Linked DNA regions of Elephas maximus indicus. The protein of the gene in region 3 binds, or shares a complex with, the protein of the main gene of each other region. Links are inferred from orthologs where the notes say so. Each region holds a gene or a part of one and is shown on either strand. Other genes may lie near its edges. The genes, in order: CDC40, BCAS2, SNRNP40 and LSM8.

Region 1 (7,568 bases), on a different chromosome or scaffold from region 3:
TGTATCCTCTTCTGAATTTGGCTTGAATTTCTGGTAGTTCCCTGTCAATATACCGCTGCAGCTGCTTTTGAATGTTCTTCAGCAAAATTTTACTTGCGTGTGATATTAATAATATTGTTCAACAATTTCTGCATTTGGTGGGATCACCTTTCTTGGGAATAGGCATAAATATGGCAGAGAGACTAGCATGGGCAAAATCTTGAGGAGGGTGGGAGAAAAGAAAATTAGGCTTTTGGGGCTTTGTAAAGAGTTCAGCATGAAGCATGGCAGGTTTCATATGCTACGTAAGGAACTTGATTTTACCCAGTAGGCAAACATGGTGGCTATTGGGGAGGGATGAAACTGAAATTTAGGAAGATCACTCTGGGTGCACTGTGGAGCAAGGAATGTGAAGGAGGAAATAGAAAGGCAAGTTATGAGTTTATTATAATTGACCTGAAGGGGAATGATAAGAATCTAAACTGAAGAGTGGCATCAGAAAAGAGATTTGGTAAATACTAATGAATTATGCTGACTAAAAAGTTGGCGGTTTGAACCTACTCAGCAGCTCCGTGGGCGCAAAGACCTGGCACTCCGCTTCTGTAAAGATTACGGCTTAGGTCACATAGGATTGCCATGAGTTGGAATCCACTCAACAGTACAAAACATCAACAAATGAGTTACAATGGCCAGGTCCCACGATTCAAAAGTAGCGCTGAGAGAAAGAAAAGTAAAAAATAACTCCTGGGAGAAATGAAGATCATATGAAGTGAGAGTAGAAAATTAATGAAGCAGAAATGTTAGAATCCGCTGAATGATGAGCTTCAGGGGTTGAGGAAGAAAAGGATTACGGCTCTGTTCCTGGTTTGGACCCATGGGTGGGTTGTAAGGTCAGTAGTCAAAAAGGGAAAACAGGAAAAGAGTAGATTTTGATGAAAAGAAAATGTGTTAATATTTGAGCACATTGAATCTGAGGCGCCTGACAGCCATCCCGGGAGAGATGTTTAGTAAGATTCAGCCAAAATCTAAGGCACGGAATGCTTATGTAACTTATGCAAGGTTACTATTTGGTAATTGCTAGAGACAGGATTTGAATCCTAGCAGTCTTGATGCCACCACAACCCACGTTAACCACTTTATAGCGTTCATCTGTAAGTCATCAGAGTATAGAGACAGAGGCTGAAATCATGGAACAGTAGGTGGAGTGCAAAAGGAACTAAGGACGGAGCCTGGGGAAACTCCAATATTGAAAGGGGAGACAGGTCAGTGGCCCTGAAGACTGAGGTTGGCCCCATGGAAGCCAAAAGGAGAAAAACTTACAAGAATGATGAACTATTATTTAAGAGTCACCTGATGCAGCCAGGTGACAGAATTTGACAATTACAAGGCTTCTGATTCTAGATTACTCAAGGACAGTAGTTTCCCGAGAGGCTAGGGCCAGACTCTGATTGAAAAGAAAATGAGATGAAGTGAAGAGAGGGAGTGCAGCTCCCTCTTCCAAAAAGCTAAGCTGTTGAAGGAATGTCACCTCAGGAGGTTGCCGGAGGAGTATGAGTTTAGCGAGTGTTGTTTTGTTTTAGATAGAAGAGCTTTAAGCATTCTTTCATGCCAGATGTTCATTAATAAAAAATAAAATTCATAAATGGCTTACTAAAACCCTGTAAAAGACTTACTATATTGGTTTGAAACATCTTAAATACAAAGGAATTTTTGCACACTGCCTTCCCTTTCTATATCTTGAGCTTCTGATCACCCCATCAGGCTCTACTGGGTCCACATTGATGGATGTTTTCACCAGACTCCCACCACATGGGTCTTTCTTCTGTTCTTCATACATGCCAAGCTCTTTGCCATCTCAAGGCTTGCCATCCCCTTTGCCTGGAAGCTCTTGTCTTAGCTTGTACATAGCTGGCTTCTTGTCTTTCTTCAGGTCCAATCTTTTGAGAGAGACCTTCCCTGACCAACCTATCTCAAGGCATATTCCTATCTTATTTTCTACCATAGTACTGCATGGTTTCTCTTCTGAGTCCAATCTATAACCACTTCATTTGCTCATTTTTTATTGTGTCTCTCCCACTAGAATGTATGGATCATGATGGCAAGGATGTCTGGCTTGTTCACCTGAGTCTTCAGTCCTTAATACAGTTCCTGGCAAATAACAACGTGCTCAGTAAATATGTTGAATAAACTTAATAACCGAACATCTCCCTCTATTACTTCTTCCATTGCGATCATGCACACTGTTTCTTAAATTCAAGGTCCTTTTCTAACATGTAATAACATACATAATAAAAAAAAAATACCTAATAATTACTGAACTCTCACTGGGTACCACGCACTGTGCTATTAGCTTTATTTGTATCGTTTCACTTAACCTTCAAAATAGTCCTCTCACATATGTAAGTGCTGTTACAATTACCTTCGCTGAACAGACAAGGAAACGGGAGGTTGCATAATTTGCCCAAATTCACGCATTTTAGTTTGGGCAGTTCTGATGTAGCTTTACTCATACTGAGATTGTACTTGCTCTATCTAGGCCACGTCCCAATCCATAAATTCAAATTTCACCGCTTCCCCCCACCCCACTTTCTCAACTGCTTTCTTAGGGCAGGAGATAAAGGCAGGAAACAGTGAAAAAAAATTCCAGTTCTCGATTTCTCTCCAGGAAGACGCATATAGGGAGAAGAAATCCAAGCGTTAGCAATTTCTCTTTCAGTAGTAAGGAAGCGGTAACTCCGGGCTTAAGGAGCCTTCGCGGCTGCCGGGTTTGGGACAAATCCCGCACCGCAGCAGCGGCCAAAGTGCTTACCTTAACTGCCACCTCCGGAGCCGAGTCCACCGCCACTGTCAGAGAGGGCTTGGCAGAAGGCGATTTAGTCAAGTGCATGAGGGAATCGGCGGCTGGCAGCGAACACCGTCCACCCTCACTGTCCGAGTCCGATTCGGACCCTGAACCCGAACCATAGGAAGCAGCCAAAGCTGCAATCGCAGCCGACATGACGGCAACAGATCTTCTGCCGAGACCAGGCCCCGGCGGAAGAAGTGGCACGCAGGTCCTGACAGATTACCATGGAACACATTATTTACCTCGTTTCGCTAAGAAATCATTTATAACATTTTAAAACAACAAATTAATTATTAGTATAATAACCACAGGAGAAATAAAAATTTGGAAACACTTATCTAGAGAAACAGAGACAATTAAATAACTTATAGCTTTCAGGACCTATTTGACTGACTCGGAGACTACCAGTTCCGAAACACCTTGAGGCCTCGAAGTCCTAACTCCCGGCGTGCCGCGCGGCAGGAAGTGGGAGAAGGTACAATGGGAAGTGTAGTTTGGAGTGAGGGGGCGGGGCGCGGAGGGCCGTCCTCTCTCGACCCCGCCCCTGAATAGATGGTTCATTCAATTGGCTATCATCTTCCCTCATTCCCTAGCCAAGCGCTGTTCTCTCCGTCCCCCTCCCCCAAACTGAGGATAGGGCAATACCATACATCCTCAGGAAAGAGGGGAATAGCGATTCTTACCCCCTAGTGATAGGTGAGTGGGCGGAGGCTGAGTTTCCCACAAGGGCTACACCTGGGCGCTGGAGACTGAAGAGGAACGTAAGTCTTAAGTTCGAAGACCTTTATGGGCGGGGAATAGTTCCTGGTGGGAAGGATGGAAGGTTAGATGGATGAGAGTCCAGCCGTCCCCCCTGCTTCTGGCGCGGGTCCCCTCGCCCGGTTGTGGAACGTCGCGCGCGGGGAGGGGGCGGGTGGGGGGGGCGGCGGCGGCGGCGGCGGCGGCGGCGGTTCGCGGTGTTGTTCGCTGGCGCGTCGGGCACACGTTGAGTCCGGCGACCGGCGGACGCCGTAGGCGGCAGTCCCTGTCCCTCTTAGCCTTAGCCGCTGCCGGGAGTGGGTTCCGCCCCAGAGCCCGACATTCCTGGGCGCTCCGGGTGGAGTCCAGGGAGCTCAGCGACTACCGTCGAAGCATGAAGAAGGGGTAAGCAAGAGCCCCCTTAAGATTTCACGGTGAGCGCGAGTCTCTCAGGAATTGCCCTTTTTTTTTTTTTTTAGAGGGTGGGGGTTTTGGGGGTTGCTAGTAGAGGAGCTCCTCAGCATTCGGAACAGAGAGAGGTGTGTGGGGATCTCTAGCCCCTCAAAGGTTACGGGGATGGGCGCGCCTGCCCCCTGCGATGGTCCCCACCCCCACTCGTGGGTTCCCGATCTCCCGCCGCCCACCCGCCCGCCGGGCTGGGTGCTGAGGGAGACGGCGGCGGGCGCTCCTGGGTCTCGGTTGCAGGGGCCGCCCTGGGGTGCTTTAGGTGAAGAGACTGCGGGTCTCACCTGAGGTGCCGTCGCCGGAGCTCCCCTGGCCACCTGCACCCACGGCCAGACCCCGTGCCTCCTAGCTTTGGGGAAGGCTGCAGCACTGGGTCGGGGAGAAGCCCCTGCTGCCTCTACGTTTCCGCTGCTCTGTAAAGCAAGCTTGTGCGTTTGCGTGTTTGTGCCGCTCGTCTGTGTCTAAAGACATAACGGTAAAGCGAGTGGGGGACCCTTTATTCGTTTGAAGAGGATGCGAAACGGGGCAGGCGCCTCGGCAGGGTGTACCTCGGGCAGAGTTAAGGAGCTGCTCGCTCAGCTCCGATGTCGGCAGGACTCGCCCATTGTGCCACCCAGATAATTATTCAACTATGCAGCATCCGTTGCACCTTTCCCATTTTTCTTTTCCCCTTGCTACAGCATGCCCCCTAGCTTCGGCGCCCTGACGCCTTCTCTTGCACTTGAGGAACTGAAATAATGATGAAAAGACAGCACATCTGACCTGAACATTCACGACCTGTCCTATAACCGATTAGTTAGTTAATCCCTAGCTACACTAGGTATTTTAACATGGCTCAGTTTAATCCTATCCCTTTCTATGTAAGATGTGCATTACAATATACTTTTTTTCTTTAGTGTTAGATTCACGTGCTGGTTAAATCTTATTTCTGTTCAGCAATTGATTTATTGCTTATTCAGTACGTCTTATTTAACGTACTTTATTTTGGATGTTAGGTAACTTCCATTTTCTAATTGTTGATAGCACTACATTTATCCTATTTACAAGTGCAGTATTTACGAACACATGAACTCTAACAGTTTTGTTGTATGCTCCAAGCTTCTTTTGGGAAAAGTTTTTTTTTTTTTTTAATTTGTCAAATTTGTGAATAAGGTATTTGATACACAATTTCTCTAATTTTGATTAAGAAAAGTTTTGTATTTTCAGTAGGAGGATATTTGATTGCTAATAGTTTCCAGTTGAATGAAAGGGAGGATTTAATATTTAAGATGGGATTTTAACTGCCGTATTGAACGTTCCCTAATTTACTTAATTTTTTTTTTATTCAATTCTTTTCTTTGGCAATGTCATGCATTTAATTACTTCTTACAGAATTTACCGTTATTTTTCTAACTTCTGTCTACAAGGATGGATAGGCTTCTTTTTATGTGATCTACCTGAAAGATGAAATATTTTTTGAAACTGTAAGAAACAACTGTTGGTTACTTGATGATTATGTTAAAAAAAATATACATGTTGTTATTTAAAGTTTTTCACTGCTCCAAAGTGAGTGTTTTTATTTTCTTAGTCCTCTTTTTCCAGCTTTCATTGTTTAATCTTGTTGAATTAATCCTTCACACTTCTGATAAAATGAAATTGTACATAGGTATTGCAGAGGCAGTTCTTTTAAGGTACAGTAAATTGTTTTTTGGCACTTGGAAGTGGCAAATGTATAATAAAACTTGATGGTGTAGGCTCAGGTTCTTGGTTAGGAAATGACCTTGCAATTTACAAAATGGACACCTTTGTGCCTTGGTTTCCTTACAGGTAAATGAAGATAATACTGATTTACATGACTAGATAGTGTGAATAAATTCAGTAAAGATGTTTTCATAATACATTTAAAGAATATTTGAATATTTTAGTTGATGACTAATGAAAATAGCTCAGTGTAAACTGCAATGAAAAATGTCATAATTTTCCTTCATACATTGGAATGCCTCATTTACGTTGAATTTTGCTTTGGAGAGGAATGGCTCTAAAATGAAGGGTGTTTCTCATCCATCAAGAGTTTTTTTAGGTTTACTGATCTATGTGAAAATAGTTAATATTAATGAAAAAATTATATGACTTGGTAATGAAACAAGTAAAACATTGAGTAAGTTTGTGAAAGATAAAATTTATAAAAAATCTTAAGATCTTTTTCATTGCAAATTTTTCAGGTTAGAAAATCCAGAATACGTAGTTGTGATCATTTGTAAGGTATGATATGGAGCTACTGTTTCTGTTATTCAGGTTTGTAAATAACCGTAGATTCAGAGACAATGTGTTAATATTGCATAAGGCTGTAACCATACATTTTACTTTATCATAAGAATACTTTATGAAATCCTTTCTCTTTGATTTTCATTACCACAGTAGACAGGAGTACTTTAAGATATCTTTTCTCAGTGTTTGGTTTTTATTACTATAGAAGATAGTAATTTTTGATTTGCTTATTGAAGAATTTAACTCAATTTTCATAGCAAAAACTACTATTAAAATACTACATTATAAGTACTTTTACCAAAAGTGTTTTCAGTTACCTAATGGGAAAACTTCACATAAATAAGACTATTAAAATGTGTCTTTAAAATTACTACTTGTAATTTCTTTTTTGTGAATTAATTTAGATTTATCAAACAAATTTTAATTTCTGGAACATCATATAGCTTTATCTCAGAGAAGAGAAGGGAAGAATGTATTTGGGGCTCTCTGAACTTCACTTACCTCTTCAGATATAGTTCATAATTACTTTACCCACACATTTTTAAAAATAGCACTAGATACTGAATAATGTAAAAATAGGCAACTTTCACTTGTGGAATGATATTAACAGTTTTATTCTCACCCCTTATATCTCACTTCATAAAAATGTACATTAATTTTTTTGTTTTACCCAAATTTGATCAATATAGAAATTTGTTTCTTTTTTGACTTATCTTATTTTCAAGCAATCTATTAATAAAAATATGTATGTTAATTAAATCCTGTGTTAAATGTCTGAATTGTTATTGGCTGCTGTTGAGTTGGTCCCCAACTGATCAATAGGGTTTCCATTGCCTGATTTTTGGAAGTAGATCACCAGGCCTTTCTTCCTAGTCTGCCTTAGTCTAGAAGCTCCACAAGCCTCCACTTATAGACTAGTGGTGGTTACAAATGAGGTGCATTGGCGGGGAATCAAATGTGTGTGGAAAGATCAGAATACTGGGAGAGAGGGATATGAAACACAGCCATGTTCGTCATATATGGTGGAGTATTTTGTAGCTTTTCGCTTCTTATTGGGAAGTTACTAATACTTAAGAATAGTGTATAACATGGTCTCCTAAGAGGAGAAGAAATAACAGTGCATGTTTACTATATGAGCAAGTCATCCATACATTTATTGTCTTATTTAATTGATATTGCAGTCCTGTGAGGATTTTGTGGAAGAAGGAGGTAAGTTATTTACTCTACCCAGCAGAGGCCCAGGTTCTTTGGGAACTGCTTACTCCTCTAATCCCCTTTTCTCAATGAGTTACTG
Region 2 (7,500 bases), about 94 Mb from region 3:
CGTGTTCGACTAATAAATATTTGGGTTGCTATCATGTGCCAGGCACTGTTCTAGGTGATAACGATACAGTGGTAAAGAGGACAAACAAGGTTGCTGCTCATGGAGCTAACATTCAGTCTCATCTCAGCACAGATAGGATTTCCTCAAGAATGCAATCTAAAGCAGCCACTGAGCCACTCTATCACATCATTACTTGAATTCTTTGTATATCATTTATGAATAATCCACTACTTGCTGATTTATTTCTCTGTTTCAACACGCTAGGATGTAAGCTCCACGAGGACAGACCTTGCCTATCCTGTCCCCCCAAGTGTGGCACGTAACAAACCTTTATAAATAGTTGTTAAATGAATAAATGGAAGAGCAGTTTCAAGGGCAATTTGAGGAGTGATTAAGATCTTGAACACAATTACCCACCTAAACAATGGGGATAATACAGATATTTGTTCATAGGGCTGTTCTGATGACTAAGTAAGCCCAGAACAATATTTACCTCCTATTTTTAAGAAAGGATTAGGTCCCCAGACCTTCTGTTAGCCCAAGACAGGAGCCATTCCCAAAGCCAACTCTTCAGACAGGGATTGGACTACTATGGGATAGAAAATGATACTGGTGAAGAAAGACCTTCTTGGATCAAGTAGCTACATGAGACTATGCTGGTATCTCCTGTCTGGAGGGGAGATGAGAGAGCAGAGGGGTCAGAAGCTGGCCAAATGGACATGAAAAGAGAGAGTCAAGGGAAAGGAGTGTGCTGTCTCATTATGGCCAGAGCAATCAGGAGTATATAAAAGGTGTGGGTAGTGGTGGGTATAAATTTTTGTATGAGAGACTGACTAGATTTGTAAACTTTCACTTAAAGCACAATTTTAAAAAAGGGGGGTTAAATAATCAGTATACTAGTTATAAAGATTGAAAACATGTTGTATTTGAGAGAGCAAATTAAAGTAAAAATAAATTTAAAAACTGGTTAAAATATTTAAAAGTTTCAGTCCAATAAGGAAGCATTACTGTACTTAGTACTTAATGTGAAATAACCCACATTTGGGTAACTACAAAGGAGCCCTGGTAGTGTAGTGGTTAAGTGCTCAGCTGCTAATCAAAAGGTTGGTAGTTCGAACCCACCAGCTGCTCCACAGGAGAAAGATGTGGCAGTCTGCTTCCATAAAGATTATAGCCTTGGAAACCCTATGGGACAGTTTTACTCTGTCGTTCAGGGTCAGTATGAGACAGAATTGAATTGATGGCAACGGGTTTTTTAGTTTTGGGTAACTACATTTAAAAAAAAGTATGAGAAAACAGAACCCATCAGCTACTCTGCGGTAGAAAGGTGTGGCAGTCCGCTTCTGTAAAGATTTACAGCCTTGGAAATCCTATGGGACGGTTCTACTCTGTCCTATAGGGTCGCAGTGAGTTGGAACCAGCTCTGTGGCAGTGGGTTTGGTTTTGGTTTTTACGTGAAATGCCGAACGAAACAGAATTTCAAAGGAACATCTCTCTCCTACTTAAAATTTAACCAACATTTTTTCATGTAACAAATATAAATACTGCTTTTTAACAACAAAATCCTCTCCTAAATAAATGGTTGCATATAGGGAGGGGAAAACGCCAAACATAATGTTCGGAAATGCCTAAAACAATCCAGTAATTTAGAAATACTTTACATTCAGCGGATTAGACCATAATCAGTATCCTGGGTTCACTCCTACGGTAAACAGTTTAAAACGGTATCCAAGTGTCCTGTCTCCCCGCCCCCCATCCAAAAGTAGAGTTCCCATGAAACCTTTCCTAAGACGAAATGGCTTACAGCGAAGAAGCAATTACCATTAACTTATATGGGAAAAAATTTGGGGCATTTCCAGACCCCCCCCCCAAAATAACCTACCAAATAACATATAAAACATAAAATAATACCAACATATAGTAAAAGCTGAGATGCTGAATGTAATTCCCGGGGAAGGAGCTTGGCGACGCCGCCACTCTCGCCGCCTCTTTAATGGCTAGGTGCAAAACAAATGCTGAAAGCTATTTCTGGTTTTCGTAACATCGAAAATCCTCTTGGGATTTCTTTCTATTAGTGAAAACAGGTACTCATGTAGGTCTTTTCGTAGAAGCGAAGTGGCGAAAGGCAAACTTTGAAAAGCGGGGGATACCTGTATAGGTACCTTGGTTTGCCCATTCGGTCATTCTCATCCATTTGGTAAAATACAAATAGAAAGCCCGCCCTCCAGTGGTTCTCAAGAGCCAAGGTAATTAAGCTTATTAAAACACACAAAAAAAATCCCAAACTAGATCACTTGTTTTAGAGTAGACCTTATAGAGTAGCGGGTTCCTTTGAAAATTTATGTGTGGATCCCATTTCAGAAAAAAATGTACACACAAGTTTCTGCATTAAGTTTGGGAGTTCGCGGAGCATCCCCCCTCCTCCCCGAAAGTCCTTCTAAGGGTCTCAGGATAAGAGGCCCGGAGAATGCTTATCCATCTAGTTGTTTTCCATAGACGGATACCCATACGTCAGAGTAAGAGCTAAGCAAGCAATAGTTAGAGTGGGAATCTGAAATTCACTTTTACGTAGCGAAGGCTCTCAATCCAAAATAAAGATTCGTGGAATTATCTTCCACGTCCGGGGCTCAAGACAGCTCACTTACTTCAAAAGCAGAATAATCCGGGGCTGTCAGGTAGCTCAGGTAGTTCTTTGTAGGTCGGTATCTCCGAGTTTCCTCCTCCACCAGAGCCGCAGCCTGAGAACGAGAACGGGGGCCAGGGTAGGGGCGGCAAACTGTCACGTGTATCTTCCAGCATTGTGAAATCTAGCAAGCGCCGAGTCAGCTACAGACACCCCTCACTCACCGCTTCCCGCACACCAGGCGCTTCGTAACCTTGATCAAAATAGGGCAGCGCATCCACCACAGCCTCTCCGGCGACCAATCCTGTGCCCGCCATTCCGGGTACCTCAGGTCCGACTGAGTTTTCTGAGTCTGCGCAAACTCGAGTACTCTCAACTACGCCTGCGCCTACCCCGGACGTCGTCCGTATCGCCTGCGCCTGGGCCTCAGCACTTACTCAATCGCCAATTCGAAAGGCGCGCTCGCCCCGCCCCTTAGAAGAGCCGGGCCCTTTTATTTTGGTGGGCCGTGACGTCACGTCCGGATTCCCTAGCGTCAGCGGAAGGTCTCGGTTGTTTGTCTCCCTCTTGCTCTTTTTTTGTCTGCCTCCGACTGGAAGCGGTTTGGTGAAGACGAAAGTTTCCTTTATTTAAAAACTAAAATGCGGGAGGGGAGGCCTTTAAAACTTTTTGCGGCAACTGGCTGCAGGGTTTGGCGGGGAGAGAAACTAGTTTACCAAATTGGCTTACTCCCCTAACCTTTCTTCTCCCCTGAGCCTTCTCTCCCCCTGTGGTAGCCTTTCCTCCTCTTGAACTTCTTTGCAGCACCCCACTATCCTTCGCTTTAGGCGTCCTGAGAATATCTGCATTGGGTAGTACAGTTCTTTCACAGACACAAGAAGTGTATGCCAGTCTTCAGTTAAAACTGTGAAACTTGGGGTCTGCGTAACAAGAAGAATCATATCTGCCCACCGCGAAACTGATAACCGCTCATCAACCGCACTTTGAACAATCCTGTCATTTTGCTTTTAGGGCGTATACAAAACCCAGTCATTTTGCCTCCAGGACTTCTGGTAATAGAAACGCACTCCTCATTGCCCCCCAACCAGCCCGGTGCACTGCAGTGCCCTGTGTGGTACGTGGCTCTCAGCCTCCTTTGATGAAGCAAAGACCCTACACAGTGTACAGTCTAACCCAGGCTTTGTCAGCCAAGAGCCTGGAAATGTTGACCACAGTTATTAAGCCTGGTTGGTATAAAATTGATTCGGATTAGCTTTCTGTTGTGTGCTGACCAGTGGATTCCAACTCATACCGACCCTATAGGACAGAGCAGAACTGCCCCATAGGATTTCCAAGGCCATTTTTTTGGAGGGGAGGAGGTTTAATCTATACAGAGGAGCACTTGTGGTGCAATCGTTAAGAGTTTGGCTGCCCACCAAAAGGTCAGCAGTTCCAATCCACCAGCTGCTCCTTGGGAACCCTATGGGGCAGTTCTACTCTGTCCCATAGGGCCCCAAGAGTTGGAATCTACTCAATGGCAACAGATTTGGCTTGGTTTTTGGTAATCTATACGGAAGCAGATTGCCGTATCTTTCTCCCACTGAGTGGCTAGTGGACCCAGATCACCAACCTTTTGGTTAGCAGTTGAGCTCTTAACCACTGCACCACCAAGGCTCCTTGATTAGCTTTCTAATTTACCATTATTTAGATAAATGTGCTACCCATGGATTTAAGTGAAGGATAAGATCTCTAAGTTCCTAGGTGGCTCAACCAGTAATCTAACGCTTGTCAGTTCAAACCCAACCAGCACATCATGGAAGAAAGGCCTGGGGATGGATCTGCTGTTCTTAAGATTAAAGCCAAGAAAACCCTATGGAGCACTTCTACTTTGTAACACATGTGGTCTCCATGAATTGGAATTGATGCAATTTTTTTTTAAATAAGATCTCTAAATCTTAATTTTATTTAAAATTGTCCAGACGTCTGTGGGATTTTTGTGTGTTTATTCTTTTAAAGATCTGTAAACATTTTATACAAATCTTGAGCAAGTCTTTTACAAACATGTCCAGAATATGTAACACTTTACAAAAACAAAATATAACAGACCTAGGGGAGCAGCTTCAAATTGCAGGGATAAAGTCCCCCATCCTGAAGCAAAGATCTCCTCATAGAGGGATGGTAAGGAATGCACCACAGTAATCCCTCTTACTCCCATTTTATAAACACTCAATTCCCAATTACTGCTTGCTTGTTCCCTCAGGGTTTCAGTGTTAGAAGAAATCAAACGAGGAGATGTCTGGTAAAAGCCCCACTGGGGTAAGCTGCTTAATAAACATTTTTAATAAGACATGAGCTCAGTTCTATTCCCTGGACCCACATCTATAGGAATTATATTACACAGCACCGTTCTTTACATGGTGTCGGCTTCAGATTCATGCATGCACACCTGAATGTGTTGTTAAGACAATACTGTACAAGTCAATAAATTGTAGCACAACACAACTTTTAAGGTTTTGTTAAGTCTGAATACTTTTTATGCCAGTTAAAACCATTAGCAGGGTTTGAAGAAAACAGACTGACATCTGCTATAACATTTATCAGTGAAAACTGCCTCTCATTAACAAATTCCTCTTTCCAATGATTAATACTAGTTTAGAAATTAAGGATTTGGGTGGTTAAGTGGAGGGAGCCCAGGAAAGTTCATAATTCTGAGTTCAATTTAATTAGGGCAAAAAGTCCAACAATTCATGAGGAGCTAAAAAAAGAGTCTTATCTCAGGTACTATAATTTAAAGTCCCTCATCCTCAGAGCTGGGAGGTGGCCCTGGTATGGTTCAGCTTAATAGGAAACTTTTTAAATACTGAAATCCCACAGAGAGCAAATTTTCATCTGCAGTACTAACCAACTTGCTCTGCGTACATAAAATAATAGTCCTGGGCGTCAATATGGGCTCTTTTGTGTAACTTTGGGCAAGTTATTTCACCTCTTTGAATTCCAGTTTCTTCACTAGTAAAATGAAGATGCAAATATCTGTCTCATAAAAATTGATGTAAGGATTGAATAAGATGACATACATACATGTAGCATAGTACACAGCACATGATGGATAATTAAAAAAAAAATGGTAGTTCCCATGCCCTTGAAAGGACATTTTCCTAGCAACTATAATTCCACAAAGTTTAATGTTGACACATGAGGGACAAGCTACCCAAGTGCAACATATTGTGAAGGAGGAGCTCCAAGACATCTATATTTATGAAGCAATACCAGTCCTAACAAAAAGGATTTCTACCTAAGTGGGATTCTCCTAGATAGAACATGAGACAAAAAATCAAAAAACAGGAGGCATATGATTATATTACTTAGCCCAGCTCAATGAGTCCATGGGGTTAAAGCTGCCATGATATTTCGGTGATGAGAATTATGTGTGTAGGGCTAGTGTTCTCCACTTCCATCATGCTTTTCTAGTACCCTAATCTCGGCATTTCCCTTGTTATGTTAATCTTTGAGCTGTTTTTTAAATGCAAAACCAACAAGTCTGTCCCCTGCAAAAGACAAGTGCCTTCCTAAACTAAGCACAAAACGATGAGTCCAAATATCAAGTAAAAAGCCCACTTAAAAAAAAAAAATTGGAGGCAGACTGAAGAGAGCATTGGTTCCAGATTACCGCCAACAATTCTCCAGTGATTACCACAGCAGCAACAGGAGAGTCCTCCTCTGAAGGCAGGCCTCACTCTGAAACCTTTTAAACTTCCAAGGAGTTTGCAGAATACCTCAAGGCATCTGACTCTTGGGAAAATATTTTCTTTGGCACATTCCCTTCTAGTTAAGATAGAGACAGTCAATCAAAGATTTCATTTCTTCTGGAGAAATTTCATTTTACTCCCTAAAAGAAAAAAAAAAAAGGAAATTCTCATTAATTCATTTTTACTTATCGTAGATTATTTGAGGCAAATGGCTAAAATTTAGTCATTCAGAATAGCCCATGAGTAAGCTATCAGGTGATATGTATTCTGAAATGACATATTTTAAAATTAACCAGCAAAAAAACTCCCAAGTGTCTAATTGTAGAGGTAGAAGAGTATTCAGACTTTGGAGCTGAGAACCACTGATCTAATAATCACTGTGGTTTAAAGAGGAAATAACAGCCTGGGGCATAATTTGTCCAAGGTCTCTCAGCTCATTAGGGACAGAGCCTAATTAGGAACATATATTTCAAAGACCAGTATAAATACCATAGAATTTAAGTTCGTTGTTTTAGACTAGCTATACCACAGTTCCTAGATCCCCTGGATAATTAACAGTTAACTGTAATTGAAAAAATTACATGAACATCTGTGTTTCTCTATGATGCATAAAACATTTGTAGGAAATTTCCTTTTGCCTCAGATTCCATGCAAACCAGGTGTTTTTTTTTTTTAATACAATTTATTTTGTTGTTGTTGAAAACATACACAGCAAAACATACACCAATTCAACAGTCTCTACATGTACCATTTATTGACATTGATAACATTCTTCAAGTTGTGTAACCATTCTCAACCTCCTTTGAGTTGTTCCTTCCTCATTAACATAAATTCATTGCCCCCCTAAGGTTTCTATCTAATCTTTAGAATTGCTATTGTCAATTTGATCCAATATAGATAGTTCTTAAAAGAGCATAATGCTCAGAGTAGACATTTTTTACTAGTTGAGCTAAACTATTGTTTGGTTTTAAGAAGACTTGAGGGGATATTTTTGATTTGAGGTTTAAAGATTATCTCAGGGCAATAATTTCAGGGGTTCACCCAACCTTCATGGTTCCAGGAACTCTGGATTCCATGAGAATTTGAAATTCTGTTCTGCATTTCCCCCCTTTTAATCAGGATTCTATGAACTAAACCAGGTGTTTTTAATCT
Region 3 (7,657 bases):
CAGAGTAGAACTGCCCCGTAGGCTTTCCAAGGAGTGCCTGGTGGATTCAAACTGCCGACCCTTTGGTTAGCAGCCGTAGCACTTAACCACTATGCCACCAGGGTTTGCAGAGTCTGACCAGGGCAAATGATGTCATTAGAAGTATGCAAGGAAAAAGGACGTTTTTGGTAAACGCTAGGACATATACAACTGTGCAACAATAGGAGTGTAGATACATGTGTATGCATACAAGTGCACAGGTATGTATATTTACGTATACAGTGGGCATATACGTTAAAAGCTACAGCTGCTAACCAAAACGTTGGCAGTTCGAACCCACCAGGCACTCCTTGGAAACCCTGTGGGGCAGTTCTACTCTGTTCTATAGGGTCACTAAGAGTCGAAATCAACTCGATGGCAATGGGTTTGATTTTTTTTTTTAATATGCAGGTGTATATCGGTGTGGGCGTGTAAGTACGTATCCATATATATTCATATACACAATAAACCACATAGGCAGCAAAAACACAGATACTTATAAACATGTTGCAGGATTGGTTTACGGGGTGAAGGCTTAGGACCATAGTCTTGGGGGACAACTCGGTCAGTTGGCATAATAAGGTACATAAAGTTTATGTTCTACACCCTAGTTTGAGAAGTAGCGTCCAGGGCCTTAAGAGCTTGAGGGTGGCCATCTAAGATACAACTATTGGTCTCTACTCATCCAGAGAAAAAGAGAATGAAAAAACCAAAGACTCAGAGAAGAAACTGGTCCACAGGACTAACAGTCTGAACAAACCACAATCTCTTCTACCCTGAGACCGAAAGAACTAGATGGTGCCTGGCTACCACTACTCACTGTTCTGATCAGATCCACAATAGATAGATCTGACAGAACGGGAACAAAATCTGGAACGTAACTCAAATTCTTAAAAAGTCAGACTTACTGGACTAGTTGAGACTGGAGGACTCCCCAAGACTATCGCCCTGAGATATTCTTTAAACCTGGAACCAAAACTATCCCGTGAGGTCATCTTTTAGCTAAGTAATATATTGGCACATAAAATAAACAACATCTTCCGTGAGTACTATGCTCCTTTAAAAAAATCACCTATATGAGACCAGATGGTCAACACTTACTCTAAAACAAAGATGAGAACGCAAGGGGGCGGGAAACTAGACCATCGGAAGCACCGAGAACAGAAATAATGTGCAGTCATGGCCGATGCAGTGAAACCCAAACGGACTTGAATTTTTAAAATGTGAGTGAAGCGGATTGGGAAAAATTACAGGTTGAAGCCCTGCTAGAAACTTAATCTCCCTCTAGAAAACAAGGACAGCATGCACATTACATAACAACCAAGTATTTTGACTGTCAAAACTGGGAACAGCAGTGCCCAGCTCAAAGACGGTAGCCTGTGCCACTTTGAAAGTGTGTCACCCTCCACAGTCCTGGCAATAATTGAATCTCCCGATAAGGCTCCTGAAAAGGCTCACTATGCCTCTTCTGAGTCTCTGATCCCAGGGCTTCGATCCATAATCTTTCCCATTCTACTTCACCCAAATTTTGAGTCTTTCAGTTCTGCTTCCTCAGCCATGGCTTGAACCGGTTCAAAGTCCTGATTAGGATAAAGTAGACACAAAGTGTAAAATGTAACCAAGATCGCTGAACAAATTTTGTAGAAGTTGTTAAACGGGAAACTACTAGTTAAGTCTGTTTTCTCATCTGCAAAATAGGATAATAACAGTTCCTAACTCTTAAGATGCTACCATTATTAGCGGGGATTATATATACAAAGCACTCGGCACAGGAGCTCAGTGAATGTTAGCTATTGTTAATAATACTACTGTTGTTGTTAGGTGCCCTTGAGTTGGTTCCAACTCATAGCAACTCCATGTACAACAAAATGAAACACTGCCCAGTCCTGGGCCATCCTCATACTTGTTGCTATGTTTGAGCCCATTGTTGCAGCCACTGTGTCAATCCACCTTGTTGAGGGACTTCTGCTTTTTCCGTATCTTCTACTTTACCAAGCATGACGTCCTTCTCCAGAGACTGGTCCCTCCAGATAACAAGTCCAAACTAAGCGAGACAAAGTTTCACTATTCATTTCTAAGGAGCGTTCTTGGCTGTACTTTTTCCAGACAGGTTTGTTTGTTCTTCTGGCAGTCCATGGTATATTCAATATTCTTCACCAACATCATAATTCAAATGCATCAATTCTTCAGTCTTCCTTATTCTTTGTCCAGCTTTTGCATGCACACGAGGCCATAGAAAATACCATAACTTGGGTCAGACATATCTTAGTTCTCAAGGAGACATCTTTGCTTTTTAACACTTCAAGGAGATCTTTTGCAACTGATCTTAATTGACAAGAGTACTAGTAGTTAATACCAGTGCAAAGAAATAAAGGGAAGTTGAAAAAGAAAAAAGCAACTTGTCCTAAGTTCCACAGCGAGCCAGTATCATTCATTTTCTTCCTTACCTCACTCATTCATTCGCTCTACAAACTTTTACTGAATGCTTATTTTATGCCAGATCTCCCGAAATTTTAGGATGCGTAAGTTCGGGTCCCGACAATAAGCCCAAGGCTCTTAAACTACAATTCTAACGCCACCTCACAGGGCTGTCGAGACGGTGACGAGGTGTCAAACGCGAAAACACATACTGAACGTATGCAGGTTGTCAAGCGCTTTTACAGAATTTCCTGCTTTAACTCCATATACAGATTCTCATTCCTCCCCTCTCAGCGTGTGGAAAGGCCGGTTCGGGGCCACCTAGTGCAGAGGTCCGAGGAGAGAGGAGGATGAGCTGAGGGCCGAAGGCCGCCTACTCCTTCACTTACCGCTTGCAGCAAAGCTCCTTGCTGCTGTCCAGCTCCGGGGCCCGACCCCGCCGCTCCCAACAGCAAGTCATGCCGCTGCCGCTTGACTGGAACCAGGGGTAACTCTGGGCCCTTTCGCTTCTGCTGTTCTATCATGGCGGCAGCCACTCTCCTCAGCACCGGCACTGGCCGCGCCGACACACACAGGGACCAAGCGATTGGTTCCTACTTAGTTCTTCCCCCGGAACTTCCGGCTTGGAGAAACCAATCGGTTTCCAAGGCTCCTACCTGCGCTCTTTCCGGATAGTCTCTTGTTATTGGGCGGCTCTTCCTGACGTCGCTAGAGTACGGCTCCAGGATTGGCGGATGGAGCTGGAGTCTCGCCTAGGCGCGCTGTGTCTTGTGGGTGGAAGCGCGCTGAGAGGGTTTGGCTTTTCGCGCAGTGCAGTGGCTGGGCGACCTGGAGCTAACAGCGAGTAAGTGTAAGGAAGATCGGGGGTGGCTGCGGGACTCTGGAGGTCGCATCTCGGTAGTAGGGTCTGAGTTTGGCTTTTTTCAGGTGAAGATGCAGGTTGAAAAGGGTGGGAGGCAGGCCCGAGTTTGGAGCCCTGGTAAGTAGCAGCCTCAATTCTCTTTCCAGGCAGGAGCAGAGCTTTGGGGTCTCTTGGCGGCAGGACCCAGATCCTGCGGTTTCCCGGGGGTCCTTGCTGGCTGACTTTTTCAACAAGGGACTAATTGTGTTCAGCCCTGGGAGAAAAGGCCTGTCTCCCTGCCTCCACCAGTGTTCATTCTGACTGAGGAGGCGACACTTGTTTCTGCCACTGACTATGCAGCTTTTTGTTATGGCCTGCTGTGTGCCTCTGAGAGAGAGAGATGAAGAAAGGGTTCACCTCCGACTTCTTGAGAGGCCAGTATTGTTTAGATATTTGAGACCCATACCTGTGAACTAGGCCTTCTCTTAATCATCCAACAGATATTTATTGTGCAAAGCACTGGGGATACAGTATGAACCAACATGATCCCTGACCTCAGAGAGTTTGAGTCTGGTGAGGAAAAGGAAGTGCTACCTAGGAGAGGTAGCTGTTGCTCTGAGTGCCTGAAATAAGCAGGAAGACTTCTCTGAGAAAAAGATGCTTAAGCTGGTATCTGAGGGAAGAATTCTAATTAGGTGAAGAAGGGAAGGCGAAACATTCCATACAGAACGGCATGTGTAGAGGCCCTATGGTGGTGGGAACAAAATGACTAAAAGGCACGAACAGGCCAGAGTGGCTGGTACAAAGCGAATGAAGGAGAGTATGGCAAGATGAAGTGGAAGGTGGTTAGAAGATCACACTTTATAGGAATTTGTAGTTTTGCTTTAAGACTGATGGGCAGTCATTGAGGGTTTTGCGGGTGGCTTGATCTCTGGGTTAGTGGTGTGAATAGATTGGAGGGGAGCCCTGGGAGATGCAGATAGACCACTTAGAGGGATATACAGTAGTCCTTTGAGAGATGTTGGCAAGGATATTCTAGAGATTTATAGAAGGTGAAGTGGGTAGAACCTGGATTCAGGGAGAGAAGAGAGGGGAATCAAAGATAACGCCTAGGTTTCTGGCTTCTACAGCTGAATAGATGGTGTTACCGTTTCCTGAGGTTGGGAGAGTGAGTTCACCAGAGAAATGTAGGATTTCCAGGCAGAGTTAAGAACCCATTTTGAGACTGGAGATCATAAATTTTTTTCTGGCAACACCAGGCTTTTTAGTCCAGGCATGGAGAAAGCATATCCAGGTATGGCAAGGACTGTGGATTTGGCTCACACAACACACGTTCCAACTTCTAATGTACTGTATCTTACTGAAGAGCTGGAAAGCTAAAAACTATTTGACTCTTGAAGCTGAGAATTGGATTTGGAACTGAGCTAAATGTAGAGAGAAGCAGAGTTCAAGGCATAATTTGCTGACAGTTAATGGCAGAGGCAATGAGTTTTTCCAGTCAACAGTTCGCTGGTTTGGTGACTTTATGCAGTGATAGCCATTAGTTTCTTGATCTGGGTGGCAAAGCTGGTGTGCTTTGTTGTAGGTTAGGAGTTGTTCCTGCAAGTTCTGTCAGAGCCTGCTTCTATCACCCTTCTAGTAATTTTGAAAGCCACATAATACCTGGCAGTAAATCTCTTCTTAACCTAGCTACAGTTGATTCTGTTGTCTGCAACTGTTCCCCAACAGAGTAGGGGTACTGCCAGATAGGTAAGCTATAAAAAGGTAAAGTTAAGGGTATTACTTGAATGATGGACTGGAATCTAAGATGGACAGGGAAGAAAGCGAAGAAAAAGGCGAGGGCTGATAGATGGGAAGAAAATAGAGGCCAGTACCTCAGGGTTCTTATGTGGTCAAACAACAGTAGTCTCTTCTTGGAGATACCCATTTATCCTTAAAGGCCTACTTAGTTGTCATCTCTGAACTTCCCTGCTTCTCTCAGGTCTTTTCTTTGTTCCTTGTTTGTTCATTATCTTGAACCTAGCCATTACTTTAGCACTGACCACGCTGTGTTATAAATAGTTTCATCATCATCCCTACCAGACTAGGAGATTTTAGAGGATAGGGACTGCGTTGAAAGGGTAGTTTAGTGGCACGTGTGCTTAGCCTTTGGAATTGCCTGAGATTTGTTTCTTTCTAGCTGTGTGGCTTTGGACAAGTTACTTCATTTCTGCAAAATGGAGATACCTATTTTGTAGAGTTTTTTTAAGAATTAAAATTAGGTTTGTAAAGTACCTAGCACAAGGCCTGGCATATAAGCATCAATAAATATTGTGCTGAGTTGATGAATTAACTAACAATTTAAAATAGGGTAACATCAAGTACTTCAGTATTTTCAGCAGCCAGTTATGAATTTCTATGTGCCTTATTCTGTGTTAGGCACTGGGGATTGGGGGCGGGAGGATATGGTGATGTGCAAGACAAGGGCATGCCGACAAGAATTTCACAATCTAGAAAGGGAGGAAAACATGTTCACAAAGAGGATGATAGGATTTGAATCCCATCTCTATCATTCATAGTTTTGTAATCTTGGGCAAGTTACGTAGCTTTTCTTGTGTCTTAGTTTCTTTATCTCTAAGATGGCAGTGATAATTGCCATCTCATAGGGTGGTCAAAAAGAGGATTAAATTGGTTAAGACAAGTAGAGCTCTTAGATTAATACATGGCAAATCGGAAACACTCAAATTTTAACTGTTGTTATTAGAGTACTTGGAAGGGACCTTAGGGATTATTGCCTGAAAGAACAGTGTGAGGCAGTAGAGTAAGTACTGGTCCTGGGTTTAGTAACAACTCTGGTAACTCAGCAGCCTTTTTCAAATCACTTGACTTCTGTTAGCCTCAATTTCAGTTAAAAAAAAAAAAGCTTAATAATATAATTCCCTTCAACTTTTACATTTTATGAGTCTACCTTTTGTGCTTTTCCTGGCTTTTTACTATTCTTCTTCCCTCCTTTTGACTACTTTCTTAAGGAAGAAACACCTGTATAAGATAGTGAACTTGACAGGGAAGAAGCACGTGTCTAGGATAGTCATTTTAGAAATTTGGTGGGAAGGAGGAAGGTTAGGCCACCAATTTGGCATTTGAAAGTTTCCCATCTGCTGGCATATCCAACATGTGGGACTCAAATTCCTTCTCCTCCTGTATCTTTTAGACACTAGAACGCTTTCTGCCTTCTTTCTTTACCTCTGCTTGATTTATAGTAAGCTTTGTTCGTTCATTCAAGAAGTCTTTGAGTACCCACTGTATATCAGGACCTCAAGATTAAATAAGAAATGGTCCTTGGTTTCATGTTTGAATGAATGAATCCAGACTCTGCTCATCCTAGCTTTCTCCATGAACGATGCCCTTCTGATTACTCTATATTGATTCCTCCAGTGGTGGGACCTAGTTAGTGTTAGAGCTGTACTCTACAAAATTTAAATGTGGACTATGCATTCTTTTTGAGGCAGTGTAGCATAATGGTTAAGAATGTAGGTTCTGGAATTATTCTGTCTTTGTTTATATCCCAGTGTTAGCTGATACTCCTCTGAATTCTTTTACTTAGGTTAAAGTTAACATCTCTTTAATTCCTTCAGGCTTCTAGTTAATTAGTGTTATAAAAAAACAACAAAAAGAAATCTAAATCAACGCAGACTTAAAAACAACAACAAAAATCTAGACCAGGTCAGTATGGTAACACATGAAATGACATTCCAAAGAAGCTGTAGAGTATCTCACTAATTTAATATTATTCTAAAAACTTCTTATTTCTTGTTGGAAGGGAGGACAGGCTGTGTTTTTTTTTTTTTTTCCAAATGCGTGCACTTTTTTTTTTTTTTTTTAACTTTGAAACAATCACAAAATTATGGAGGTATAGTACAAATAACATTGAGAGTTAAGTTGTTGACCTGGGGCCCCATCACCCCTGAATGATTTAGTTTTTCCTACAAACAAGGACATTCTCCTACATAACCACAATATACTATTAAAATCAGAAAATTAACATTGCATTACTATCTCTAATCCTCCTCTCCACGTTTAGGCTCTGGATGTCCATTCTGGGCCACCCCAATGTGTGGACACCTTATCAGTTACCTTGCTCCTCCCCACACTGGGTTGCTCGTCTTTGCAGATTTCCTCTACAGCCAGCTTTGACCTGGCTCTGGGCTACCATTTCTCTACTGTTCCCCCTCTCCCTGACACTTTCCTTGCTGTGCCCCTTGAGGGTAGAAAAACTGAGTCTTTGTTGCTTCCCGACATTGTACAATTGTTTAAAGTGCTCAAATGAAATGAAGCACTCAGGGAAGATTTTCTGCCTTGAGAACTATTGCAAGGCAACTCCTAATGGTGCAAGTAAATTGA
Region 4 (7,693 bases), on a different chromosome or scaffold from region 3:
GCCTTCTTGCCTGCATGATTTCTGCTGCATAATTAGAGCTTAATCTAGTATGTGACTTTTTGTTTTTCTCGAGTTGCTCTCAGGATTTTTTCTTTGTCTTTGGTTTTAGCAAGTGTGAATGATATGCCTTGGAGTTCTTTTGGCGTCTATCCTACATGGGGTTCACTGAGCTTCTAGGGTGGTCAGATTTTCATCATTCATGATATTAGGGAAGTTTTCTGTTAGCAATTCTTCAGTGTTCCACTGTGTTTTCTGCTTTCAACCCGTTCTAGAACTCTGATCACTCAAAAGTTTTTGCTTTTGAGTGTACCCCACATAACTCTCAGGGCTTCTTCATTTTTCTTCATTCTTTTTTCTGATTTTTCTTCAGAGTTGTATCCAAGTATTTGTCTTCAATTTTGCTGATACTGTCTTCTACCATTTCAAACTTGCTTCTCAGCCCTTCTATGACACTGTCCATTTCTGAAATCTTGTTTATGCTTTGGATTTCTAATCATTTTTGTGTGATTTCTAGTTGTAACTTGATTTTGGCATTTTGTTCCTGTATTATTTTCTTGAGCTCTCCTATTTTTTTGGTCTAAATTTTCCATGAATTTGTCTGCCTTTTCCATAATTTGTATATTTTTTCTTCATTTTTGTCTGCTTTTTGCTTCAACTCTTGGATTGCTCTGAGATGTGAATTTCCTGTCAGGTAGTTTAGTGCCTTTTCTTCTACTCCAAAGTTAGCTGGTATTTTATTTTGGACGCCTCCTGGAACCATCCTGTTTTTTTTTTTTTTTTTATGTTTTGATATCATCTGCTGTCTTTGGGACATTCAGTAATTATTTTCTTTGTTTCTTGATTATAGATTTGTTTTGTCCCGCTTTTTTATTTTATTTATGTCTGAGCAGGTGGGCTTTGCATTCTTTGTTGTTTGCTCGTCTGTAGTCATGATACTTTTCACCTCCTTGTCCAATAAGCAGGGCCAATCAGTCAGCTATAGTTCAGCAGGGTAGGTCCAATTGAAGGTGAAGGGCTGGGATGCACCATTTGTAGCTCATACTAGGGCCAACAGGGCAGGCCAGGAATCAGTGCTAGGTAGGTTCTGGTAGGCTGTGCTGATTAGGATTGTGATGTTCAGAGCATGGTGTAGGTAAGCAGGAAATAGGGGGAGGTTGTGACGTGTGGAGCTAATATGGGTATGGGAAAGAAGAGAGAGAAGACAAACAGGAGCCAAAAACAAACAAAGGAAAAAAAAGAGCGCTGAGGGAGCTTACCTTTGGAGTAGAGAGATCAGAAACCGAGAGATGGAGAAAATAAAAAATGAAACAAAAAGGGAAAAAGCAAAACAAAAAACCCAGGGGTCCCACTGGTGGGGGGAGTGAAGACCGGGGAAGTGGCTCCCAGGCTGCACAGTATAGCCTGGCTAGAGAGGGTATAAATATCACACAGCAGCAGGTATTCAGGAGACAGGAAAAGAATGTAAGTATAGACAGACGGGAACTGAGAAATGAAGACAGACAGAAATGGAAAAAGAGACAAAAAAAGAAAAGAAATGCCCCCAGGGATTCCACCTCTGCGGCTGTGTAGACTGAGAGAGTGGCTCCTAATCTCTGCAGTGCAGCTTGGCTAGATGGGGCTCCCAAGCTGTGAAAGGAAAAAGAAAATAAAAACAAAACAGAACACGGAAAAACAAAACAAGAAAAAAAAAATGCAGCCCCAGGGATCCCAACAGCACAGTGTTATGGGCCAAGGGAGTGGTTCCCCAGTTGAGCAGGGCTTCACAGCCTTTCAAGAAAAGCAAAGATGGCACACACAGCCAGGTGCTTGAGAGAAACCAGGGGTAGGTGGTGGGAGGCATGGAAGACACCAAAAGAAATGGAAAGAAGGAACAAGAGCTCAGGGGGCTGGCCACTGTGGGCGGGGGGAATCCATGCGGCCCAGGGCCAAAGCAGTTGCCTCCTGCCAAAAAACTGCGCCTGGGAGTAAGGGGGCGGGGGGAGCGGGGGAAGGGTGGGCGTTAGGAAAGCGTATGTTGTTTGTTACCGGGTACTCTGTCTCCTGCTGGGAACTTCGTGAAGATGCTTTCTCATACTCCCTGCCCACGGATCTCTGATAAAGGTGGGGTGAACCCAAGTGGCCCGGATGCGGCACTCCCCAGCCAGCCAAGCCACCGCAGCCAGCCAGGAAGCTTGGAGGTAGGGCAGTGGGGAGAGGATGTGGGGGTGGGAAAGAGTGTATCGCTGGTTATCGGGTTTTCTGTCTGCTGCTAGGAGCTCTGTGAAGCTGCACTGCCGTACTGCCTGTCCGGCAATCCCTGACAGGAGTCCAAGATGGCGGATCTGTGCTGTGTTAGCTGATAGGGAACCTTCCAGGTATCTCTCCTCAGTTTCTTATTCCATTCGGTGTTTGGCTGAGTTCTTTATGTCTTCATTTGACACTTCAGGTTCCAGCAATGATGTCTGTCTCTGTTTTACTTAGTTTTTTGGGTCTTTGTTGTGGGGAGGGGTGGCCTGGTGCTTCTACCTATGGTGCCATGTTGGCTGCAAGTCAAGAGTGATGCATAAGGCTAATTTAGATAAAATATTTATGTACTGTTTGCATCTACATATAACTCATTTGTAAAGTCTCAATAAATGGGCATTTCTTTACCCATAGGCTTTCTCTCCACATGTATGATCATAGGGAGCTACAGAAAATGTAGCAGTTACAAGACACGTGTAAAAAATTTTCAGATAAATTTCCTGATGCTCCATAAACATGGCACATCTGTTATTTATCTGGCATATTAATTTAGTGAAAACTGCACAAGATCATAGACTTAAAATGTAATGTGTTTATGATTAAATTAATTCTATAAATTACTATATGGTGTTAATAAATGTCAAAACATAAGCAACACTCCAGGGGATGAGAAGTTCCATGCATTATTCATTTTAAAAAGGTGGGATATAGTTTATTTTTTAAAAACTCCTTAATCATACTTCAATAACTAGTAGTTCTTCATTTTTCTTTTAATTTGATGCCTAACATTTGCAAATCACACAATATCTTCATTTTTTATTTATGGATGATACATTTTTCCCCCCTAGAAAATACAGGAATATTCACTACGTAATTCCTGACTGTATGTGGTTTCAAACAGGTCAGAGTAAGTTTCAGTTTATAAAATATTAACCATTGGGGAGTGATTTGTAGGTAAGTTTGTGGGTATGCTCTAATGAAAACAGATGCTTGACTTTTCAGAGGAAAATTGCTCATTTCGCAAGAGTTATTTCACATTTATACTTCTTCAGTTAAGAAATCACAAGCCTAACTGAAATCAAAAAGATATTTTGTGAAAAGGGGAAAGAGCTCCCACTGGTGTTTTGTGTATTGATCCTTTTCTAATTTCAAGCCCTTCTGAGAGCACCACAGTATAATAAAATGGAAAGAATTATGTTTCCCATTATCATCCTGAAATATTCAAAATGAAAGCTGTGGAAGGATCTAACATCATTACTTTATAGTGTTACTATATAGTGTTAAGGAGCCCCTGGTTGCGCAGTGGTTAAGCGCTTGGCTGCAGAATTACTGCTCTGTGGAAGAAAGATGTGGCAGTGTGCAAATGTGGAAGGAACTCACCAGCCTCGGATGATGATGTGGCAGTCTGTAGATGTGGCAGTCGGCTTCCGTAGGATTTACAGCATTGGAAGCCCTATGACACAGTTCTACTCTGTCCTACAGGGCAGCTACGAGTTGGAACTGACTCCACGGCAGTTAGTCTTTATGTAGTGTTAATAAACATTTTCAAAACATAAGCACATTTCAAGGGATGAAAAGCTCCATGCATTATTCATTTTAAAAGGTGGCGCATGGTATATTTTTGAAAAACTATTTAATAATGATACCTCATAATGATGAGGAAACAGGTCCAGAAGAGCTGAAGTGACTTGTATAAGGACACACAATTCAGTAGCAGAGCCAGGACTAGAACCCAATTTGGTGCACATTTATAATATACCTCTTTTCTTGACTAGTCTTCATTGGTGGTGCGGACTTGCCTTTTATTTAGTCATTTTATCCTGAGGACAGGGAGACCTCCTGGCTTGCTAGAAGCTTAAACATTTATTTCCTAGGAGTTGCTCACACACGTTCACTTGTTTGGATTCAGTTTGTTAAAGTGAATCACGATGCCTCCAATGGAGTTCTTAGAGGCACATGGAGAATATGTGAACATGCTTTTTCTTATCGTCTTCTCCAGAGATGTACAACATTATGGCTCCAACGTGTGCAACTTTTTCTTGGTCCATTTATCTTTTTTTATATTTCATTTTAAGTCCGTGCTGCAGAAATCAGCTAGGGATCCCAATTCCCCGTACCCCTATTTCTTAAGACAACAGCACTTACCTATCTTCTTCATTTACACTCAAAACATCGTATTTCGTTCTCTCCCGCCTTTCCTGTCTTTTCTAATAGTTTTTCCTAGTAACTTCTACCACACTACCTTTCACTCCTGACTCCCTCTTACCCCGCCTACAGGCACCTGCCTTTTTTCCGCCTCCTGTTTGCTTTTGTCTCCCGTGGCTTCCGGGATCGCCGCCCGGAAGAACCACGGAAACACACTGCGCACGCGCACCAGTTCGTCACAGCTCCTGCTCTCTGATATGCGGCCCAGTTTCTGTCAATTTCTGACCCACGGCAAATACGGCGCCAGCAACTCTCGCGATATTTGCTGCCGTCAGTGGGCGCGAGCCGCGGCCAGTTGGTGGCGGGCATTTTTGGCTTCTGCTGTTGCTGGAGCTGCCGTGTAGCCCGGAGTTCCTGGGCCAGACATCATGACGTCCGCTTTGGAGAACTACATTAACCGTATCCTCCGGAGGCCGCCGCGGCGAGGCACGTGTCCGCACCGGAGTGGTGTCGGGGCTTGAGAGGCCGGGGTTCGGGATTCCTGGTGGGTTGGGACGCCTGGCTACTACGGGGCCCCGGGTGCCGGTGAGGGGGATAAGGACCCGCGACCAGCCAGTCTTGCGCTGGGGCTCGAGCCCGCCGCTCCTGCCTCGAGTCCGAGGTGTGTTTTAATTCCGGCCTAAAGTAAAGTAAATCCAGTGTAATTATCCTGAACTTTTCTCTGCCTCTATAGAATTCCGCTATTGATTCAGCCTTATTATTCCCCCAGGGCCCACACGTTCAAGTTTCAAATAAGGTGAGCGGTTGTCATAGTGGCGACGAGGGTCTTGTAAATCTGTGCACTTGTTTTATTGACAGGCATGCTCATTGTTGAGATAGCAGAAGTTTAAAGATGGTCCATAAATTGAATTTCTGCTGCTTTACCACTTGAAGGCTCATCTTCCTTGTTGCTAGGATGGAAACAATGCTTGCTTTTTCAATGAATTGTCCTCATGGTCCGAAACTCGTAAAGAACCAGATACAAATGTTACTGTTTTAATGTCTCAGGACAGAAACAGCACATCGTGTATTCATGCACAAATTGTGAACAGAAGTTAAATACTGAAGGCTTTTAATGATGCAAGCCTATTGGTGTCTTATGACATTGGTTATAGTATCCTTTGTATTCCAGAAACCTGGAAGACAGTGTCTTAACATGCTTGAAATTGACTGATTTAGCAGCCATACAATTTTTATTCTACAAATGAAGAAATAGGGCTAAGAAAGTGGGGAATGTCTTGTTCAAAATTGAAATTTCCCAGTAAAAGCGAATACCAAATACCCCAGCTGTTTTGAGATGCTTATCACATAGAAAAAGGAATTTTCTTTTTCTGTTACTTTTGTGTGTGTGTGTGTGTAGTTATCTCGAAGACAGGATTGAAAAAAAGCTACAGATTTTAAGTCCTTAATGTTGTGTATTTAATGGCCATGTTGAATAGTTATTTTTAATTCTGTCGCCCTTTTCTTAGTAATTGGAACTGTGCGTTTACCAGATTCTAAGTTTTCGGTTAGCATTTCCTAAGAAATGCTTTCCTTGATTCAGTTATCAGGAACTGTTGCTGTTATTACATCCGATGGGAGAATGATTGTGGTAAGTATGCAGCATTTTCATTCTCTGCCTTGTAAACTATTGGTAGTAAAATAATTTTTATGTGGAACCTCTGACATCTAATGTGTAGGAACCAGAGTATACCTGCATTGCACTTTTCTTATGATCTAACTCTTTGCCCTGATGTCTTTGATAAATAGCTGCTCATCTGTATTTTTTTTCCGTTAATAAACATCGAGTGCGCATTACCTACTAGCTTCTACTAGGACCTAGGATGAATCGATTCTTCCCATCAGGGAGCTTCTAGTCTAGTATGCAGATGTCTATATGTATCTTATGGTCACATATTTGTCTTGTTCTTCGATATTTTATTTCCTTCCCGTTCAGAGCTTGGACAGCTGCCATGTGAATCAAAAGTTTTTTGAAATTTTGTGTATACTTAGAAGTTGTTCTTTTTATGACTTAGATACTACATATATACAGCATAATGAACATTTAAGGCTTGTTTGTGTAGCCTATAACTATTCCTAGGTTATATAACCTATTTTCTGTAGGACGATATATGACTGACTATTTCATCTTATTTATGCTTTTGTCACAATATTGTTGTTAGGTGCTGTGGAGTTGATTTTTGACTCATAGTGACCCCATGTGACAGAGCAGAAGTGCCCATAGGGTTTAATCTTCATGGAATCTTTATGAAAGCAGGCCACCAGGTCTTTTCTCCTACAGAGCGGCTGGGTGGGTTAGGACAGCCAACCTTTCAGTTAGCAGCCAAGCACTTAACTGTTGTGGCACCAGGGTTCCTTTTTGTCACAATAACCTCTTTTCATTCTAGAAAAATCTTGGATTCTCTCCTTGATCTGATTCTGGAAAACATTCCTCAGTTGCTAATTTAACTCGTATAACAAAGCTATAACTTTCTTATGGCTGATGTTGATTTTTGGAATTTGATTTGAGGAATTTATCCCATGATACTTGGCTACTTAATTATTTTATCTTCATTTATAATTGATACTGTGTTTGCTTTCAAAAAGGTTGTAAGTCTGCTAACCTTTCTCCAAGGAGCCCTGGTGGCACAGTGGTTAAGTGCTTGCCTGCTAACTGAAAGGTTGGTGGTTCAAACCCACCAGCCACTCCATGGGAGAAGGATGTGGCAGTCTGCTACCGTAAAGATTACAGCCTTGGAAATCTTATGGGGCAGTTCTACTCTGCCCTATAGGGTCTGTATGAGTCGGAATCTACTAGACTGCAACAGGTTTGGGTTTGGTGTAACCTTTTCTCTATTTTCTAACCTTTTCTAATTTACTTCATATAATTTAACCCCTTATTTTCTTGTTCTGCGGTCTCATTTTTGTTTCTGTGTTTAATCCATATGATTTTTTCTCAGTGGGTCATTAAGTGACTATCACTAGTCAAAGTGCTAGACTTCACCACTTATTAAATGTGTATTATGTTCCAGGCACTTTACATAGGTTATGTTATTTAATCTTCAGTACAACCCTGTGAAGAATTATTGCTGCTTTATGCTAGGTTAGGAACCAAGCTAAGAAAAGGTAAGTTAGTTTCCCAGAGTCACATAGATAATAAGTGGTAGAACCAAACTGGGATTTAAGTTTAGTCTGACTCCAAAGTCAAGGACAGTTGGCATATTTTCTTTACCAAGGGAACAATCCTGGTTTTCTTAGGCATGCTGTATTGTATATTTTGTCAAATAAAGGCCATTTGAAGTATTTT

What was found.
Region 1: SNRNP40 (region 3) and CDC40 share a complex: the UniProt entries of both Homo sapiens proteins name them as parts of the postcatalytic spliceosome P complex. The link is inferred for Elephas maximus indicus from reciprocal best matches to the Homo sapiens genes SNRNP40 and CDC40.
Region 2: SNRNP40 (region 3) and BCAS2 share a complex: the UniProt entries of both Homo sapiens proteins name them as parts of the postcatalytic spliceosome P complex. The link is inferred for Elephas maximus indicus from reciprocal best matches to the Homo sapiens genes SNRNP40 and BCAS2.
Region 4: SNRNP40 (region 3) and LSM8 share a complex: the UniProt entries of both Homo sapiens proteins name them as parts of the U4/U6-U5 tri-snRNP complex. The link is inferred for Elephas maximus indicus from reciprocal best matches to the Homo sapiens genes SNRNP40 and LSM8.

The regions. Positions count from the first base shown.
Region 1 is NC_064819.1:176,116,889-176,124,456, reverse strand, and holds the start of CDC40 (pre-mRNA-processing factor 17), read right to left. Parts: upstream 3,019-7,568; 5' UTR 2,978-3,018; coding exon 2,789-2,977; intron 1-2,788. UniProt on the Homo sapiens protein: Required for pre-mRNA splicing as component of the activated spliceosome. Plays an important role in embryonic brain development; this function does not require proline isomerization.
Region 2 is NC_064821.1:165,984,287-165,991,786, reverse strand, and holds the start of BCAS2 (pre-mRNA-splicing factor SPF27), read right to left. Parts: upstream 3,020-7,500; 5' UTR 2,941-3,019; coding exon 2,848-2,940; intron 2,739-2,847; coding exon 2,646-2,738; intron 1-2,645. Other genes in the region: DENND2C (DENN domain-containing protein 2C), read right to left, coding at 6,457-6,488. UniProt on the Homo sapiens protein: Required for pre-mRNA splicing as component of the activated spliceosome. Component of the PRP19-CDC5L complex that forms an integral part of the spliceosome and is required for activating pre-mRNA splicing.
Region 3 is NC_064821.1:72,228,332-72,235,988, forward strand, and holds the start of SNRNP40 (U5 small nuclear ribonucleoprotein 40 kDa protein), read right to left. Parts: upstream 3,006-7,657; 5' UTR 2,961-3,005; coding exon 2,826-2,960; intron 1-2,825. UniProt on the Homo sapiens protein: Required for pre-mRNA splicing as component of the activated spliceosome. Component of the U5 small nuclear ribonucleoprotein (snRNP) complex and the U4/U6-U5 tri-snRNP complex, building blocks of the spliceosome.
Region 4 is NC_064826.1:31,453,741-31,461,433, reverse strand, and holds the start of LSM8 (LSM8 homolog, U6 small nuclear RNA associated), read left to right. Parts: upstream 1-4,685; 5' UTR 4,686-4,796; coding exon 4,797-4,827; intron 4,828-5,957; coding exon 5,958-5,998; intron 5,999-7,693. UniProt on the Homo sapiens protein: Plays a role in pre-mRNA splicing as component of the U4/U6-U5 tri-snRNP complex that is involved in spliceosome assembly, and as component of the precatalytic spliceosome (spliceosome B complex).